Arabidopsis thaliana: one gene and its partner. The protein of the gene in region 2 interacts with the protein of the main gene of each other region in a pairwise test. Each region holds a gene or a part of one and is shown on either strand. Other genes may lie near its edges.

Evidence for each region. Proteins that work in one complex are often made in the same cells at the same time.
Region 1: the proteins of RAD51 (region 2) and AT3G27120 interact in a two-hybrid assay, tested with the Arabidopsis thaliana proteins (one study listed by BioGRID).

What each region holds. Positions count from the first base shown.
Region 1 is NC_003074.8:9,997,534-10,006,891, forward strand, and holds AT3G27120 (P-loop containing nucleoside triphosphate hydrolases superfamily protein), read right to left. Parts: upstream 6,774-9,358; 5' UTR 6,749-6,773; coding exon 6,324-6,748; intron 6,050-6,323; coding exon 5,911-6,049; intron 5,781-5,910; coding exon 5,493-5,780; intron 5,375-5,492; coding exon 5,139-5,374; intron 4,693-5,138; coding exon 4,565-4,692; intron 4,483-4,564; coding exon 4,364-4,482; intron 4,279-4,363; coding exon 4,186-4,278; intron 3,974-4,185; coding exon 3,872-3,973; intron 3,698-3,871; coding exon 3,595-3,697; intron 3,508-3,594; coding exon 3,424-3,507; intron 3,334-3,423; coding exon 3,238-3,333; intron 3,099-3,237; coding exon 2,971-3,098; intron 2,817-2,970; coding exon 2,715-2,816; downstream 1-2,714. Other genes in the region: AT3G27110 (Peptidase family M48 family protein), read left to right, coding at 473-724, 920-977, 1,059-1,126, 1,213-1,392, 1,519-1,615, 1,791-1,900, 2,003-2,136, 2,224-2,359; AT3G27140 (Protein phosphatase 2C family protein), read right to left, coding at 9,358-9,358. UniProt on the Arabidopsis thaliana protein: Involved in DNA double-strand break (DBS) repair via homologous recombination (HR). Limits class II meiotic crossover (CO) formation by regulating the invasion step of meiotic HR.
Region 2 is NC_003076.8:7,068,815-7,076,982, forward strand, and holds RAD51 (RAS associated with diabetes protein 51), read right to left. Parts: upstream 4,153-8,168; 5' UTR 4,047-4,152; coding exon 3,951-4,046; intron 3,547-3,950; coding exon 3,402-3,546; intron 3,292-3,401; coding exon 3,181-3,291; intron 3,107-3,180; coding exon 3,015-3,106; intron 2,884-3,014; coding exon 2,789-2,883; intron 2,704-2,788; coding exon 2,590-2,703; intron 2,502-2,589; coding exon 2,372-2,501; intron 2,285-2,371; coding exon 2,163-2,284; coding exon of another isoform or gene 2,099-2,162; exon of another isoform or gene 2,068-2,098; coding exon 1,944-2,067; 3' UTR 1,677-1,943; downstream 1-1,676. Other genes in the region: AT5G20860 (Plant invertase/pectin methylesterase inhibitor superfamily), read right to left, coding at 8,157-8,168. UniProt on the Arabidopsis thaliana protein: Binds to single and double-stranded DNA and exhibits DNA-dependent ATPase activity. Unwinds duplex DNA. Component of the meiotic recombination pathway.

The DNA of each region.
Region 1 (9,358 bases), on a different chromosome or scaffold from region 2:
CAAATTTTTAGAATTTTTTCGTCGAATAGTGTATAAGTGTACGAAATTTGCAAAAACCCAAATGTTATTTTCAAGAATAGTAAGCTCTTATGTTAAACTTAAATGTTTTCATTGTGAGAACGAACGTCTTTTAAACATACCATTTAATAGTAATATGTACTAATGTTATTGAAAACTTACTTTCTGCTAATATTGGAAGCCCATTAAACTAAGGCCCATGAAAGAAAACACCCACACCGACGTCGTATAGGAAAGATGTAGTCATGTGAAGAAAAAAAATTAACGGTCAACGGGAAAAGGAAAACGATGGCGCGTCAAATGCTAAACCATTAAACTACGGTTGTGGACGGCAAACGCTTGTCGTCTCCGAAACGCAACCGCAGAGAACCCAAATTTATATCATTCTATATCTTCTCTTCTTCACCGGCGTACAATAGCACTCAACTCTTAACTTACGCACCTCTCTTCTCTCATGGCGGTTTCAGTCTCAGCTCCGGTTTTGTCCCTCTGTTACAATCAGAGCGGCGAATTGTCTCGTAGTTTGGGATATAGACTACCGAAGAAAGTGGGATTTAGCTCTGGTCGTCGTTCAGTGAGTTATATCGGTTTCGGTGCGGAGAAAGTTGGAAGATTTAGGGTTAGGGTTCCGATTTGCAGAGCTGTACCTCCTCTCTTGTTCAAAGATCTCGATGCTGATGATTTCCGACATCCTTTTGATAAGCAGGTCCGTAAAAATTCTCCAAATGGTCGTAATTGGAAACTATATATCAAACTTTGATGATGTGATTTGAAATATTTGGTTACTCTTTTGTGTGTGTCACTGTGTTCTTTGTGTTTGTTCGTCGCAATCATCATTTGCTTTTTCAAGAATCTGGTTGATGAAATATCCAAAGTTTGAATGCACTGTCTTTTGATGCAGAACACGTTGTTACTAAGGGCTATACCGGGGTTGAACGAATTCGGCAAAGCTCTTTTAGGTGTGGCTCTTTCTAGTTACTTGGCACAAAGAGAGATTTTGAAACAGATTATGTGATTTAACGACTTTGGGGATGTTGCAGGGTCAATGACGGAGCAGATTATGCTTCTTGAGAACATTGGGACTTCTGTTCTTGTTTCCAAGAATCAGGTTAGTTGTGGATCAGTGTCTTTGTGGACATTATGTATTTGTCTATCAATAGTGATGTGTAATGTTTCTTTTATTTGCTGTCTCAGCTCTCTGATCTTCACGGTTTGTTGGTTGAGGCTGCTGAGATTTTGAATATAGAGGCTCCTGATCTATATGTGCGACAGAGTCCTGTTCCTAATGCGTATACGCTGGCAATAAGCGGTAAGAAGCCGTTTATTGTTGTCCACACCAGCTTGATCGAGCTTCTTACTAGCGCGGAGCTACAGGTAAGATATTTTTTTCTGCATTACAAGTTCAATGCTTTTTGATTGAACCCACTTTTGAACCTAACCATAGATACTACATATTGGCTAATTTTACCAAAATCTGACAGTTTTATACCTCAAAACTAGGCTGTCTTAGCCCATGAACTAGGCCATCTGAAGTGTGATCACGGCGTGTGGCTCACATTTGCAAATATTCTTACTCTTGGGGCTTATACAGTTCCTGGTAGATACCACACTCTTCTACATGTCCAAGTCACTTGTATCTACTGTTCTGTGTCAGTCTGACAAAATTATAGTGACTTCATCCCGGAAATCTATTTATCGACTCACATAAGTTTCAGTTTGCAGCCGGCGTGAAACTCTGTTATTGTTACTAAACTGGATTCTGTTGTTTGTAGCTTTTGGGCAAATGATAGCTCGAACCTTGGAAGAACAGTTACTTCGTTGGCTACGTTCAGCAGAGCTGACTTGTGATCGCGCAGCACTACTCGTCGCCCAAGATCCAAAGGTACCAATTCTAAAAAACAAGAAGAAATCAAACAGAATGCGAAAATACCTAGTGATGTTTATGTTATTGTTCTTATAATCTCTCTTATGTCGCTTCCAAGAGGTTGTTGTATCTGTTCTGATGAAATTAGCCGGAGGATGTCCATCAATCGCTGATCAGCTAAATGTTGACGCATTTCTAGAACAAGCCCGTTCATATGACAAAGCTTCTTCAAGCCCCTTGGGATGGTACATAAGGTGAGAAAATTAAAACTATACAAAATTTAGATTATTCTTCCTTCAGATTCACTTCTTTGTTTGTTTACATATTTTCCTTTTCTACAGAAATGCTCAGACTAGTCAACTTTCGCATCCATTGCCGGTTCTTCGTGCACGTGAGATTGATGAGTGGTCCAGGAGTCTCGAGTACAAAAGTCTCCTGAAACGGGCAAATCGAAAAAGCACAGTACAGAAGGTTTAGTGACGTTGTTAAAGATTTAAAAGGAAGGAAGCGAAATAAACATGTATAGGTAAGTTTCATATAAGCACACATTTGTATATGAACCTGAGTTTTTACTTTTGTGGGTCGTTTTAAGGTTTGTCTTGAATTCTTGGACAGGAACAATACAGAAGGAGCAAAGAAGAAATGAGAGATTGGACTCTAGGTCTAAATAGGTACTGTAAAACTCTTGTATTTATTTAGTGGCATACTGGCATTGTTGTATATCTTATAACTGTAATAGATAAATTCAAATGTATATTCCGGAAAACAAAAGGGCCTTAGCTCAAAGATAATATATGATAAAGATTGTTTGTATAACTCACCTGTCTCAGTCTTAGAGGCTTAAACTACCAAACTGATTGTTCCAATTTTCATAGATTCCAAGTTCGTTCTGAGAAACAGAAGGCCTTACTTCTTGCAATGCGTCTTTAAAGTCCTGCATAATGACCAAATATATGAAACAATGACAGAAACAAAAAGAATTCGTTTAGCTTTACATGTTTGTATTCACAGAGTTCGCATATCATCAATTTAAGTTTGACCCGAAACATGATGATACCACAAAAAATCTTCATTTTGATTTTATGTACCTGAAGAGTTACTAGACGCATGTCATCTTTAGTCAGGTTAGTTATATCTATGCCTCGTTTGAGAGCTTCTCTTAATGGACCCATAGTTGCATCTTTCACCAGGTTCTTCATATCTGATCCCGAGTACCCTGCAGTGAAATTTAATGAAAAGCTAGCTTGGTTATGGCCGCAAATGTGTATTTGCATTTTTGGGTTGTGTTCTTTGGACTTTAAAGATCAAAAATCCAGAGATTTATTGTGTTTCTGAAGTTCCTATGATGAATTTACCTTCCGTTAGGTTGCATATGATGTTCATATCATCATCCGACAGAGTAAACAACCCATCTTTCTTTAGGAGATTCTGTATTATCCATGCTCTTGCTTCTTCAATTCGAAAACAGAGAATCGTGTCAAGAGAGTATATTAGACGAAAACCAGAGAATGACATGAAAAAGTTTGTTTATCATTCTTTACCAGATGAAGGAAGAGGAATGTAGAGTCTCTTGGTTAGTCGTCTTCTTGCTGCTTCATCGAGCTCTTGCGGTCTATTTGTTGCTCCTAACAAACAAAAAAAATTAGCAGAATAAAGTTACTAAACCCCATATAACCCACAAAACTCAAACCTTACTGTTCCCAGTTTTTTACCTATTAGGAGAATTTGCTCGCTGCCACTGTCGAAACCTTCCATTTCAATCAGGAATTGTGTCTTGAGTCTTCTACTCGATTCATGTTCACCATCTGACTTACGCTGTGGCAAAGGGTGAAAGTTCGTTTCTTTAATAGAATGTTACATAAGGAAACCAATACATGCCAGAAAATTGTCTTTACTGAACCACCCTTTGTAATTTTTTCCAGCCCTTGTTCTACGCTGATAGGTTTGAGGGTTTATGAACATGTAATATTTTGAGAGATTACAACAAACCTGAGATAGTAGAGAATCTATTTCATCGACAAATATTACTGCAGGCTGGCGGCAACTCGCAACTCCAAAAAGGGCCCTCACTAGCTTTTCACCTTCGCCAATCTGCATTTACATTTGTGATCGTTAAATTTGCAGGTGACCGTAAAGCAAATGAATAAGCATGCTATAGACATCTTGAGCAGGAACAAAATCACTGACATACAGAAAATGGTACGGGTTTCCCTGCTATGTAGAAGTTCTGACATAGTGGAACATAATTACTGTCGTAATTTTACGAATATCCATGTGAAAGTAAGCAAAGAAGTGGAACTAACCCACTTGCTTGTCAATGAACTGGCTGATATATAGAAAAAGGTTGCTTTCGCTTCTCCAGCTATAGCTTTTCCAATCATTGTTTTACCAGTTCCCTGGTATGCAGTAGATACAGATCTAAGAAAAAACAGACACGAGTGTCATTTCATCTTAAATATCAAAATGGACAAGGGTACCTACTGGTGGGCCAAAGAGAAGAAGTCCTTTTCCAGGTGAACGACAACCTTTGAAAATGTCAGGACGCAACAATGGCCAAATGACCATCTCAGTTACACACTTTTTAGCATGCTCCAGACCAGCTGCACATCAATAACTTATGATGAGAAACTCCAGGTGCAACAGGGATAATAATATACACTGCACTGAAACATCTTACTGTACCAATATCATCCCAGCGGACATTGGGGTCTCGATCCATAATCTCGTTGCTGACATGCTCTATAAGACGAGGTTCCAAATTTCTCAACTTCTCGGGAAGCTCACCATCAGGACCACAGAGCATCTCCAAACTAGAACAGGATAGTAAGTAAATGGGCATGCATGTTATCTCATAATATAAAATTAATCTTTTCAGGCTTACAGGCGTAGAAGGCTACTGGATAATTAGAAACTTATGTGAAGTAGCATTCTAAATAAGAACGAGGGCCTAACTGGCTAACCACCAGATGAGTGTAGACGCTTAAATTGCTAGTCCTATTGACATGCATATACTATTTTTTATTTACTTTTCATAGTGTTTCAATGTGAAATAAATTCAAAAAATGTTTAATATAGAAACTTAGTTAGAGAAGGGCAGAGACAGGCATAGCCTATCTAGGTGAAAATCAAGAAATATTGACAAGAAAAACAGATTACATAAGCTTATTTATTGTCGAAGGTGAGGATATAAAAAGGGTGCATGTGCTTTCCAGTTTGCTAAGGATCTTGAATCAAAATAAGAAATTACGCAACTAACCATGTTCTGGTTGAGTCATCCAGTGCATCGTCAGTCTTTCCACCAATACGAGACGTCAAGTTTCCAACATTATTCCCATTAGTTTTAACAGGAGGGACAAAATTACTACGGTATCCACGTCTTAATCCACCCGACCTTGAACCATAGCCCCTACCTAAAGCATTTTTGTCACTCTGTGGAGAAAGACATGAACTTGGTGACTCAGTTGATCCTCGTTTTTGTCTTACATCCATTTCCTAAAGCAACAGATATAGTAGTCAACATTAGCAAAGGGTAATAAAGCACAGTTCGAAAGAAAAGACTCTGCAAAGTCAAGATGACTCTAAGAGAAGTAATTGTCATGAATAAATCTACCAGTTTTATTTTGGCGGATACAAATCCATTAGGAGCTCCATCTTCCTTTACTTCCCCATCATTTGCAAGGCTACTGGTTTCTGCATGAGGTCGCTTTGTTCCAAAACCAAATCCATGACTTCTCTCAACAATGACACATTCATCAGAGGCACGGTCTTGATTGTTCACTGAAGTTTTGCGCTGATTATCTGGTTTACCAATACTGTTTCCATACAATGATGTCAGTTTGGCTTGCATCATTGACTTTGGTGCTTTGGGAATCAACTTATCCGTATCATGCCGTTCTTCCTGAAACAAGAAAACATCTATGAAATCATAGTAGAAACAGGAAGCAAGACATATAACATGGCTGTGTTTCCAAAACTCATCACCAATACTAAGATCATTGAAGAAATGAAGCAGTTTACAAGAGCATTACCATCTCTTTAACACCCTTTCCGTTAGATTGACTGACATGAAAACCAAAGTACTTAGACTGCTTAATCTTTTCCACATCAAATCCACCTTTGCTGCCAAAAATTGCCCCTGGAGCTGTATTTGCAAGCTCAAACGCCTTCCTGGATACAACAAGAAGCACACCATAAAAGGGTACTCTAAAAATCTCAAGTGTAGCTAATATTGACGATAATTCAAAAAGATCTTTAGATTTCAGCTAGTAACTAAGTGAACGAAGTCCAAAGATTAGAGAATATCACTCAGTTATACATTTCCCTGATTCCAATACCCAACAATTCAAGCCACACTCATAAGACTCTACTAAGCTAAGCAAGTAAAATTCGAACCCTCTCTTCTTCGAAATTAAACAGGCTCAAAGGGGAAAAGCTCAGGTACCGATCCGAATCTGAAACGAGGCCTTCCAAAGCTAAATCAATCTTAGAGGCAACTTCACGACGAATGGGACCAATGAAATCACGATCGGCGTCAGTGACAGAACGAGAATCGAGGAAACCTAGAAGACGAAGCCCAAGGATCTGAGCAGAAGAGAAATCAGATTTCTCCAGGAATTTGTCGGCGCCGAAGAGCAGCGATTGGAGACGCTTCAAGTTCTCATCCACTTCCTTTCTCCAACACGGCGTCTCCGTTTCTCCTTCCTCCTTCACATTCAGAAACTCCGGTGGTGGTCTCAGTAACGGAGAAGAAAACGGCGACGAACGCTTTCCCGCCATTATCCTCTCTTCCTCTTTCCCCAAATGCCCAAAACCCCAGAAATGAAATTCAAATTCGCGCTCAGAATCTGAAACCACCGACCCACACATTCCTTTACTCTCTCACCAGCTTGACGCGTAGAACGTCATGCAGTGTAATAGTGTAGATAGAAACGGCGTGTAGTTTCCTTAGAAATCAGTTGCTTATCGGGCCCAGTTTCTTCATGGGCAATAGTAAGCCCGTTATTGTCTGTATTTTGGGTTTTACTGTGTTTCGGATATGCTTCCTCTAAACTTTCGTCTTTATTTTTTATATTTTTACATAGAGAATATTAGGCACTTAAAAATCATTAGGCACTTTGACTAATTGCAATTACTTGTTTACCCTCAAATCGTCGGTTATATATAACCAAACAAATCAAACCCATTTTCATTAAACCAATTCCGGTTACGAAACCCACGATTTTGATTTTGCAGTTACCATAATCTCTTGTTTTATTTTTTCCGGAACTGTAAAAAAAAACAAATCCAGAAAAAACCTAAACTACAGTTTCAGAAAAGGTGACTCCGACGACGGGATATCAATCTCCTCCGTTACTGTCTACCACCACTACGGTTTACACTACTTTCTTTCTTCTTCTCTCCACCGTAAAACTCCAATAATCGATTTCGTAATCTCAACCACTTTATACCCTTGTGACTTCGGCGAGGGGATATCAATCTCCTCTTTAATGGATTTGGATTTCGTTACTCTAATTCAACTTCAATTGAGTAGATTTCGAGAAAAAGTTCTTGAATTACTAAGGTAAAGTTATGTGATGTTGGGTTCTATATTCTTTGGTTTATCCAATTTGATATGGCGTCCGCAAATATTCCTCGATTCGAATCTTCGGCGATCATAAATCTTGCACTGAATACTATGGAAGAGAAGCTACCAAGATCGCTCAAGAATCTCGACTTGAATACGAACCTTGTACCAAAGATTAAGATTCTTCTTTCAGCTTATCTATCTTCCTCACGTAAGTCTCACTTTCAACAATTTTTTTTCTCGAGCTGGGCTAAATTTGGTGTTAAGCATGGCTGGTGATATTTAGGAGTTGGAATTTGACAAAGTTTTCTACTAGTTTGCTTCAATCGCTGGAATGTCTCCATTGAAATCGAAACCTCCATCTCTTGTGAGATTATGTTATTAGGAAACATTTAGAGGAAATGATTCCTTGTTTAGCTGAAATCTATGTTATATTTCCATAAAGCGACGTTTATGTGAACAAATTTATGTGGACTTGTTATCATGGATATGTTATGGACAAATTAGTATTTGAAATTGTAATTGACGGTTGTGTAACGGATTGTGTTATGGACTCACCATTCTCGTAACATGATTAAAGATAATGAAACGAGATTGACTATTGATAATTGTGTGTTTATTAAACTTTCGCACCGGTGAAGAGATTAGTCCCTTGAACTTGTGATTGTTTATGTTATATCTTGAGATGTTTGGTATTTAAAATCAAACTTTGACTTGTATTTAAAACTTAAAATCCAATCGAGAAGATCTAGCAGTGTTAAATGAACAGAGCTTTGTGGACAACGATATTTGGACACGTTTCTTTTTACCTTCCTCTCGTACTTTACTTGAACTTGTCTCTAAGTTTGCTGTCAAATTATATGGCTTTTTGAGTATTTAACGTCTCGTCAATGCCAAAGTATTCATATCAAATGAACCATTTCAAGTGTATGATCCAATATAGATTAATTGAACACCAAAAAATTCATTATATGCTTCTATTTCCAATGTTGTGGTATCCATTTTGTATTGTCCATATGAACAATGTACTTTTGCAGGTTCGGTGACCATTTTTGTATGTTGGTTTCCTCTTTTGTACCCAAAATAGTTTCCATCGACTATTAACTCAAAAAACTATTTTTTCAATCTCTTTTTTTCAATAATTTTGGGTTTTGGTTATCCTTATAAATCATAACTATTCTTCAATTTGTAATTGATCCGTACAAGTATAACTATATATGGTCAACACGAAATGGTCGCTTGTGGATGGCTACTTGTAAAGTGTTAGAGTATACTTTGAGACCTGAGATGCACATCAAGAAACTTGGTTACATATCATTGTTACTTAACTGTCTATACACATGTGGATAAATGGTCATAATGGATAATGTACTTTGGATTGACGTTTATTGTTCCTCGTATAAACTTATGTATTAGTATGAAACTACCATGTGAGTTATTAGATGACCATATGGACTAGACTGCTTGGATAGTTTCTTGTTCATGTATAAACTTATGTATTAGTATGAAACTACCATGTGAGTCACTAGATAACCATATGGACTGGACTTCTTGGACATTCATTAATGGACAAGTATGTCTTTGATTTGCTGCGAATGTGTTTATAGCTCGATAAAATTAACACTTTTTTGTTTGCTCATTCAACATTAACATTGGAGTCCAACTCGATCAAATTCTTAGCACCATCATAAAGCTCAATGTTTATACCAGACAAGATCAACATAAGCCACATTGAGTTTAGCTTTGTTCACTCAATTTTTTTTTTGCCGTCTGGTATAATATTAATTGAAAAGTCAAAACAGAGTATAGAGCATACATCCATAAAAAAACAGAGCATGAAAACTCCAAACAATAACCAAAGGTAAAGAAAAAAAAAATCCAAAGGTAAAGAAAAGAAAATTTCACAAAGTCAT
Region 2 (8,168 bases):
GCAGCCCCAGAAAAATCTTCCAGAACCGACGAAAACAAACAGTAGTGATTGTTTCTTCTGCTGCAATCGAATCGAGAACAAATGCGAGAGACTAATAGAAAGAGAAAAGAGGTAAGCAAGTAGAGAGACCCGATCACGAGTCCAGAAGCTCCAAAGAAACGAAGAAGGAAGCTCAGATTCGCAGATGAAACAGAAGATGAGATTACGAATTGGTAAAATTTGAAAAAAGAAGACAAGTATATATGAGGAAGAAGAAGAAGAGGATAGAGAGAAAAAGAAGGGTTTATGATATAGAGAGAGATGATGATGATGATAATAGTTTTCTCAGCTGTTTCCTTTGTTTGTGTCGAGAGACAAAGGAGAAGATTGGATCGGGGAAGAGAGAGAGAGAGAGACGACGACGACGACGCAACAAAACCACAATTTCTCTCTTCTTTAAAACAAAAAAGATTTTTTTAAGGGATCTTTAAATTAAAAAGAAAAAAAAAGAGCCCGTGACGAAGCAATATATACTAACAGCTGTCTGGCCGCTAATGGAATAGCTGCACTTTCGAGGACTTATGTTATGTACTCTCTCTCTTTCTCTCTTTATCCAGTTTTCCAGTTACACCTATAATTCTGAGTAACTTTAGTTAATAAGAATAAATAGTATATAGAACTAAATGTGTTTGGTAAAAAAAAAGAATAAAGTAAATGAAAATCATTTGTAGACTTGATACAAAAATACTAATGATTTTTTTTTATATATGTAGAGGATGAGTCATTCTAACAAAAGTTTTGTTAATACTAAAAAGGTACAAACAAATCATGTTTTGAATATTGGAGATGGTGATGTCAACAACAGAAAAAATGAAAATTATCTGAGAAAGTATGACAAAAACATGATAAACTATTTTAGTGTTCTTATGACAATTTTTATTATAATAATTAGACTTCTATCGAATCACAATTTGTGAGTTTATAGAATCACAATATGTGAATCACAATTACTAATTAAACCATTGGAGATGGTGATGCTTTTATGTTTTAAAATTGTAATAATATGGATTTTTCGTTGTTAAATAAAAAGAAATGTGATTAAATGCCTATTAGTATATAAAAAACATGATAAACCATAAGACATTCTAATTGTAAGTAATGGTTAGTTAATATTTGATTGTTCACTAAGTAATATATCTATATATACATTTTTGCAGCCACTTTGTGAAATAAATCCTAGAGTTGGAATTTATTTACAGTGGCTGCCACTGGCATTTAATAATTGTTTTTGATAATTAGAAAGAAAATCTTTGAATTAAATATTTGACAATCTTCCCAAAATCTCTTCACATTAACTACACGATTAGTTATTAAAATAAAACTTCCGAAATATTTAATATCATTTAATTACTACAAAATTATCATTTTGATATTGTTTTTCTACATGACTATAATAATTCGATTATAATCATCAAACCGCAGAGATATTAGATAGCATTTAATTACTACAAAATTAAAAAATATTTAGACAATGATTCATAAACATATCATAAATAAAATCAGTGAGTTTTTTTTACGGGACGGATTGGCGGGACGTTACTTAATAACAATCGTAAACTATAAAATAAAAATATTTTTACGATAAATATAATTTGCAAACTTTTATATATAGTAACTTTAAAAAATAAATTGTCTCCGCGGTATACCGTGGGTTAAAATTTAGTAGTGTTGTATAAACCACGAGGCTGTGTGCGTTTGTGAAACACAAAAGGTTCATTACCCGAAAAACTTTACTTACAAAGCTCTTTTGCTCCATCATCACTTACTTGTACGCTTACACTATGATCAACAGTTAAAAACAAAAACAAAAGAAAACGGTTTTTTGACATCAATACAAGTGAAGGGGTTGCTAAAAAAAAGCACATAAGGCAGAGAGAAGCAAGGCATTGTTGTGGCCAAAAACATCAATCCTTGCAATCTGTTACACCTTCTGTAGATATTTGAAATCGAGCTTCCGCTTCTGGCAAACATGGCGAGCTTATCACTTTACAGATTCTCTCCTCTGCTCTTCCTTTCCTCAACGCCAACCTGTATCAATTATCATAACAAACACACTTTCCTAACGAACCCTAACAAAAAACACTAAGAAACATGGATTTGTCGAATTTGCAAACATTACAGACCTTGTTGTGGTGGCATGAGCCATGATATTCCCACCAATCGGCTTAAATTGGGGACCAGCAAAAAGAGCTGAACCATCTACTTGCGCAACTACTTGGTTTGTTATAACAACAGCCACACCAAACTAGAGCCATTAAACATAAGAGAGAATACTTCAGGATGGTGTCTCAGAGCAATATTGGAAAAGAAACAGTTAGTACTGAATGTTCACCTCATCTGCTAACTTCTGAAGACTTCTCAAGAACTTTGCAAGATGCATTTGTCGAGCCGAAAGCTCTCCCCTTCCAGAGAAATCTGTTCTGTAGAGAGCGGTAGCACTATCGACAATCAGGAGAGCAAACCTGTGCCAATAGGGTCATCGTAACTTTAAAAGTTAGCACTCTCATGATAGACATAACGGAACTGAACACCAAAATAAACTCAACACACCTTGTTTCAATCATCATTGATGCTGCTTCAAGCAAAAGCCTTGACTGATGATCTGTATTATACGCCCTCGCATAGGCAACGTTTTCTAGTACATCAGCTCCATTTAATCCAAACCTGCATCATTTCATTTGATTTCTTACAGATGATTCCGTCTCAAGAACGCTATTGTGATCTCATGTGTGTTACAAGAATAACATACCTGTCAGCTATCTGTAAGAGTCTTTGTGGCCTGAATGTTCCCTCAGCATCAATGTACATGGCCTTTCCCTCTCCACCTCCTTGATCCATGGGAAGCTAATCATTCAAACGTGAACCTTAATGTGAATATCTTTCTCAGGTTTGGAAATTGTAAGAAGAAAGACAAGATCACTGATTTCTGCTAGATAAGCAACAATAACTGAGTGGTATAGGAACAGGGTTCTTACTTGACAAGTCACACACAGTGTATGGCACAGCTGAGTCTTTCCAGAGCGGAACTCACCATATAACTCTGTGATGGAACCAGTTTCAATACCTCCTGTTGAGCATACGGCAAAGTAAGATCACAATAACAAAATGCCGTTATAAGATGCACCAGAAACCAGCACCAACCTTCTAGAACTTTATCGAGCTCCCGTGATCCAGAGGTAATCTGAATAATTTCCTGTCTCTGAGCATGGAGCTGGCTCGCACTAGTGAACCCCAGAGGAACTAGCTTTGAAGCTATCACAGAAGAAAACACAAATAAGAACACACATTAACTCTAAGAGTATCAAAGAGGTGTTATGTATTTAACAGAGAAGGAAAGCAAAAAGTTTCTACATGTGTAATACCTGCTTCTACAATCTTGTCAACCTTGGCATCACTAATTCCTTTAATCTGCAAGAGATCCTTCCTCGGAGTATAAGCAACACCTTCAACAGTACAGAGACCAGCATCCCTAAGCTTCTTTACATCAACAGAAGCAATACCTGCTGCCTGAAGTTTTGAAGATTTAAAGAGATGAAATAGCATATAATCATAACACAAAACACACTGATGCATCTCCCTTTTATGAACACGAATTGAGAAGAACTATAGAGATTATATGACACTGGAGTCACAGCAATAGAGAAGTTCCCCAGAAAAGGATAAAACCCCCAAAAAGTGTCGATTTTTTTCTGAATTAAACGAACCCCTAAAACCAATTCGCCTAACAGACAGTAGCGAAACTCAATTCTCGCCCAGATTCACACCTATTTCACATCGCGATGTACAAAAAAAGCAGAAATTTTTAGTGAATTAAAGCCGAACCCATTTCAATTAGCGCAAGATCTGATGAAGCGTATAGACTGCGAAGGTAAATTTCCACAACAAATGAAAGAAATCTGCAGAAATTGAACCTGAAGCTGTTCGACAGGGAAAGGTCCGTGCTGGGTTTCTTCATCGTCTTGTTGTTGGACAGCATTCTGGTTTCTACGCTGCTCCATCGTCGTCATTTCTCTCAATCAGAGCAGATTCGGGTCACCAGAGAAAGCGAGAGAAGCAAAAGAGAGCTTGAGAGTGGAGGGAAATGGCGAAACTGAAAACAAATTGAAAGAAGCGCCACAACCAAAATTATTATACAAGACGACGATGAGGGCAAAGGCTTCTTCAACAAGTCTCGATTACGTTTGGGTCAGCTTTTCCTCGGCCTTGATCATATTGGGCTTTAAAGGCTATTAAAGCCCAAATTCTTATTCTATAAAATACTCAAAAACAACAACAAAATCCTCCTCATTTTTATTATTAATTAAGTACCATAGTAATTTTAAATTTTCAGTTAAATGCATGAAATTATAAATGTTAGATATTATCAAAGTTGATCGAATTATGGATTCTCAAAATTATTTTTTTATTTTAAATTATTTTTACTTAAAATTATATATTTTTAAAACACTAAATTAACGTTTTGTAAAAACAATAGGTGTTTGACCGCCGAGTGATACCTAGGTGTTTGAATGTCAACCAAATGGTACCTAGGTGTTTGACCGCCGAGAACCACCACAATTCCAACAATGTAGTAATCACTTATTATAACAAAAATAAAATATTACAAATATCACAAAATTTGTCAATTTTCTTTATTCAAGATGATATTTAATTTTTTTTGGTAAACTAAAACATATAGGGCCCAACCGGGTTCGAACCGGTGACCTATTGATCTGCAGTCAATTGCTCTACCACTGAGCTATGAACCCTTATTGATTTAATAAGTTCAAAATTATAAACTATGTATTTCATGAATTATTTTTTGCTAAGAAATCTAATATAGTTAAGTCAATTGTTTACTTATTTAGAAATCACATAAATTATTTATAAAAAAAAATTCACAAACAAATTAAACCATGAAAGTTTTTTAAAAAAATTTCAGTTGTTAAAGAATTATATGCAAAAACAGGTCAAAATTTGTTTTATTCAAGATGAAAAATTGCTAGCTAAAACCTTGAAATATAAGATTAGTGAACTACTTGACGCTAAATGCTAATCAAATATATAACTAAAACTCTTATAAAAAATTATTGGTAAACTGAAAACATATAGGGCCCAACCGGGTTCGAACCGGTGACCTATTGATCTGCAGTCAATTGCTCTATCACTGAGCTATGGACCCTTATTGATTTAATAAGTTCAAAATTGTAAATTATTTATTTCATCAATTTTTTTTTGCTAAGAAATCTAATATAGTTAAGTCAATTGTTTACTTATTTAGAAATCACATAAATTATTTAAAAAACAAAATTCACAAACAAATTAAACCATGAATTTTTTTTAAAAAAAATTCAGTTACTAAAGAATTATATACAAAAACTGATCAAAATTTGTTTTATTCAAGATGAAAAATTGCTAGCTAAAACGTTGAAATATAAGATTAGTCAACTACTTGATGCTAAATGCTAATCAAATATATAACTAAAGCTCTTCTAAAAAATTATTGGTAAATTGAAAAAATATAGGGCCCAACCAGGTTCAAACCGGTGACCTATTGATCTGCAGTCAATTGCTCTACCACTGAGCTATGGACCTTTATTGATTTAATAAGTTCAAAATTATAAATTATTTATTTCATCAATTTTTTCTTGCTAAGAAATCTAATATATTTAAGTCAATTGTTTACTTATTTAGAAATCACATAAATTATTTTAAAAAAAATATTCACAAACAAATTAAACCATGAATTTTTTTTTAAAAAAAAAATTCAGTTGCTAAAGAATTATATATAAAAACTGGTCAAAATTTGTTTTATTCAGGATGAAAAATTGCTAGCTAAAACCTTGAAATATAAGATTAGCCAACTACTTGACGCTAAATGCTAATCAAATATATAACTAAAGCTCTTATAAAAAAATATTGGTAAACTGAAAAAATATAGGGCCCAATCGGGTTCGAACCGGTGACCTATTGATCTGCAGTCAATTGCTCTACCACTGAGCTATGGACCTTTATTGCTTTAATAAGTTCAAAATCATAAATTGTTTATTTCATTAATTGTTTTTTTGCTAAGAAATCTAATATAAGCAAGTCAATTGTTTACTTATTTAGTAATCATATAAATTATCAAAAACAATTTTCACAAACAAATTAAACCTTGAAATTATAAAGAAAAACATATTCACTTGCTAAAGAATTATATACAAAAACTTGTCAAAGATGTTTTATTAAAAATGAAATATTGCGAGCTAGAACCTTGAAATATAAGATTAGTTAGCTACTAGTTGCTAAAAGCTAATCAAATGTATAAATAAAGCTCTAATAAAAAATTGTTGATAAACTGTAAAAATTATAAGATTTAATCGGATTTAAAACGGTGACTTATTGATCTGCAATCAATTGCTTTACCACCGAAATATAAACCTTATTGCTTTATTAATTATAAAGTTTTAAATTATTATTTTTAGTCCTTACGTTGTCAAGTCAAATATTTACTAATGTAGTATCTTATTATATAAAGTATGGTTTTCAAAGTTACTAACTCATAGGATCGTGCAACGTGTCAAGTCAAACGATCAGATGTTTACATATTTCATTCAAAATTTATTTTTTTATTCTTTTTAAAAAATAGAAAATCTTAAAAAGTAAACAAATATACATATACTAATTTATATATCTATATATTTATAAACAATTAACATTTATTCAACAAAAGGAAAATTAACAAATTTGTCTTTAACTAATGTAATCATAAGTGAAAATAGAACATTTTGAGAAAAATAACTTAGCTTATAGGATTTAACTTTTCAATTATTTTTAACGAGAATATTTTTATTTATTAATTTTAACTCATTTAATATTAATTTGCATGATGTAAAATTAACTTACGAGATTACGGCATATATAAAAAACAATATTCAATAATGTTTGGTTTCTAAATATTTTTGTGGATTTCTGTTTTTTTATTAATTATTAGCCCTAGGCGTTTGGGTATTCGGGTCGAGTATTTTGGGTTCGGGTTTTGGGACTTAGAAGTTTAGGACCCGTTCGGGTAATTTAAGATTTCGGGTCGGGTTCGGTTCGGATTCCAGTTTATTTATCTATTGAAATATCAAATTTTGTCTGCAAATCTATTAAATTACTTGAAAATTTTAAAAATTCCCAAAACAACACGAATAGTTTTGCTTGAATATATCTAAAAATACACAAAAATAACTAAAATATCCAAAACATCCTAATATTTTATATATATAAGTATAAATATAACTAATATATACTTATATTTGAGATATGTTTGGATACCTATTCGGGTTTGGGTTCGGGTTTTTCGGGTTTTGAAGTTTAGACCCGTTCGGGTATTTGAAAATTTTGGGTCCGGGTTCGGATCGGGTTTTTCGGGTCGGTTCTTCGGGTTTGGGTATTATGCGTAGGCCTATTAATTATGTTTTGTTAATTGTTAATTATTTTTAATACTAATTAGGATATAGATTTGATATGTCATAAATATTATTTTGATATGAAACTCAATATGAAGTTGTAGAATTTAAATCGAGTTTATTATGATGACATATATAGTTAAACTGTATTACAAAATTGAATGGTGTAAGATAGAAATTTTTTTTTTTTTTTTTTTTCTAGATACTAAATTAAATATAGAATAATGGTCGGTTACTTTCTAGAATTCAAATATCATTGATAAGATTGAGTGTATATAAAATTAAAATAAAATGTATAAGACTGAAATTTTGTTTACACCAATAATTATTAAATTAAATATCAAGAAAAATATATAAATTGCTATACAATATTCAAATATTATCGATAAAAATTTATTTTTGTATCTTACAACCGCCTAAATAGGCGGCCTTATCTAGTATTCATATAAAATATCATAAACAATTATCACTAACAATTTGGTATGCTCTTTCATTTGTTTGACCAAAAGAAAAAGAAGAAAGTCTTACATTTAAGTTTCAAATATATTCATGACCATACCAAATTGAATTTACATTCGATGGTTAACTCTAAATTGTATCTTTTTTTTTGGTGTAAAAACTCTAAATTTGTATCTTAATCTTAAACTTATACTTAAAACCATTAGTGACGTCTTCTCCATTTCTTCTCTTTACTTTTTTTCACTAAATCCCGGA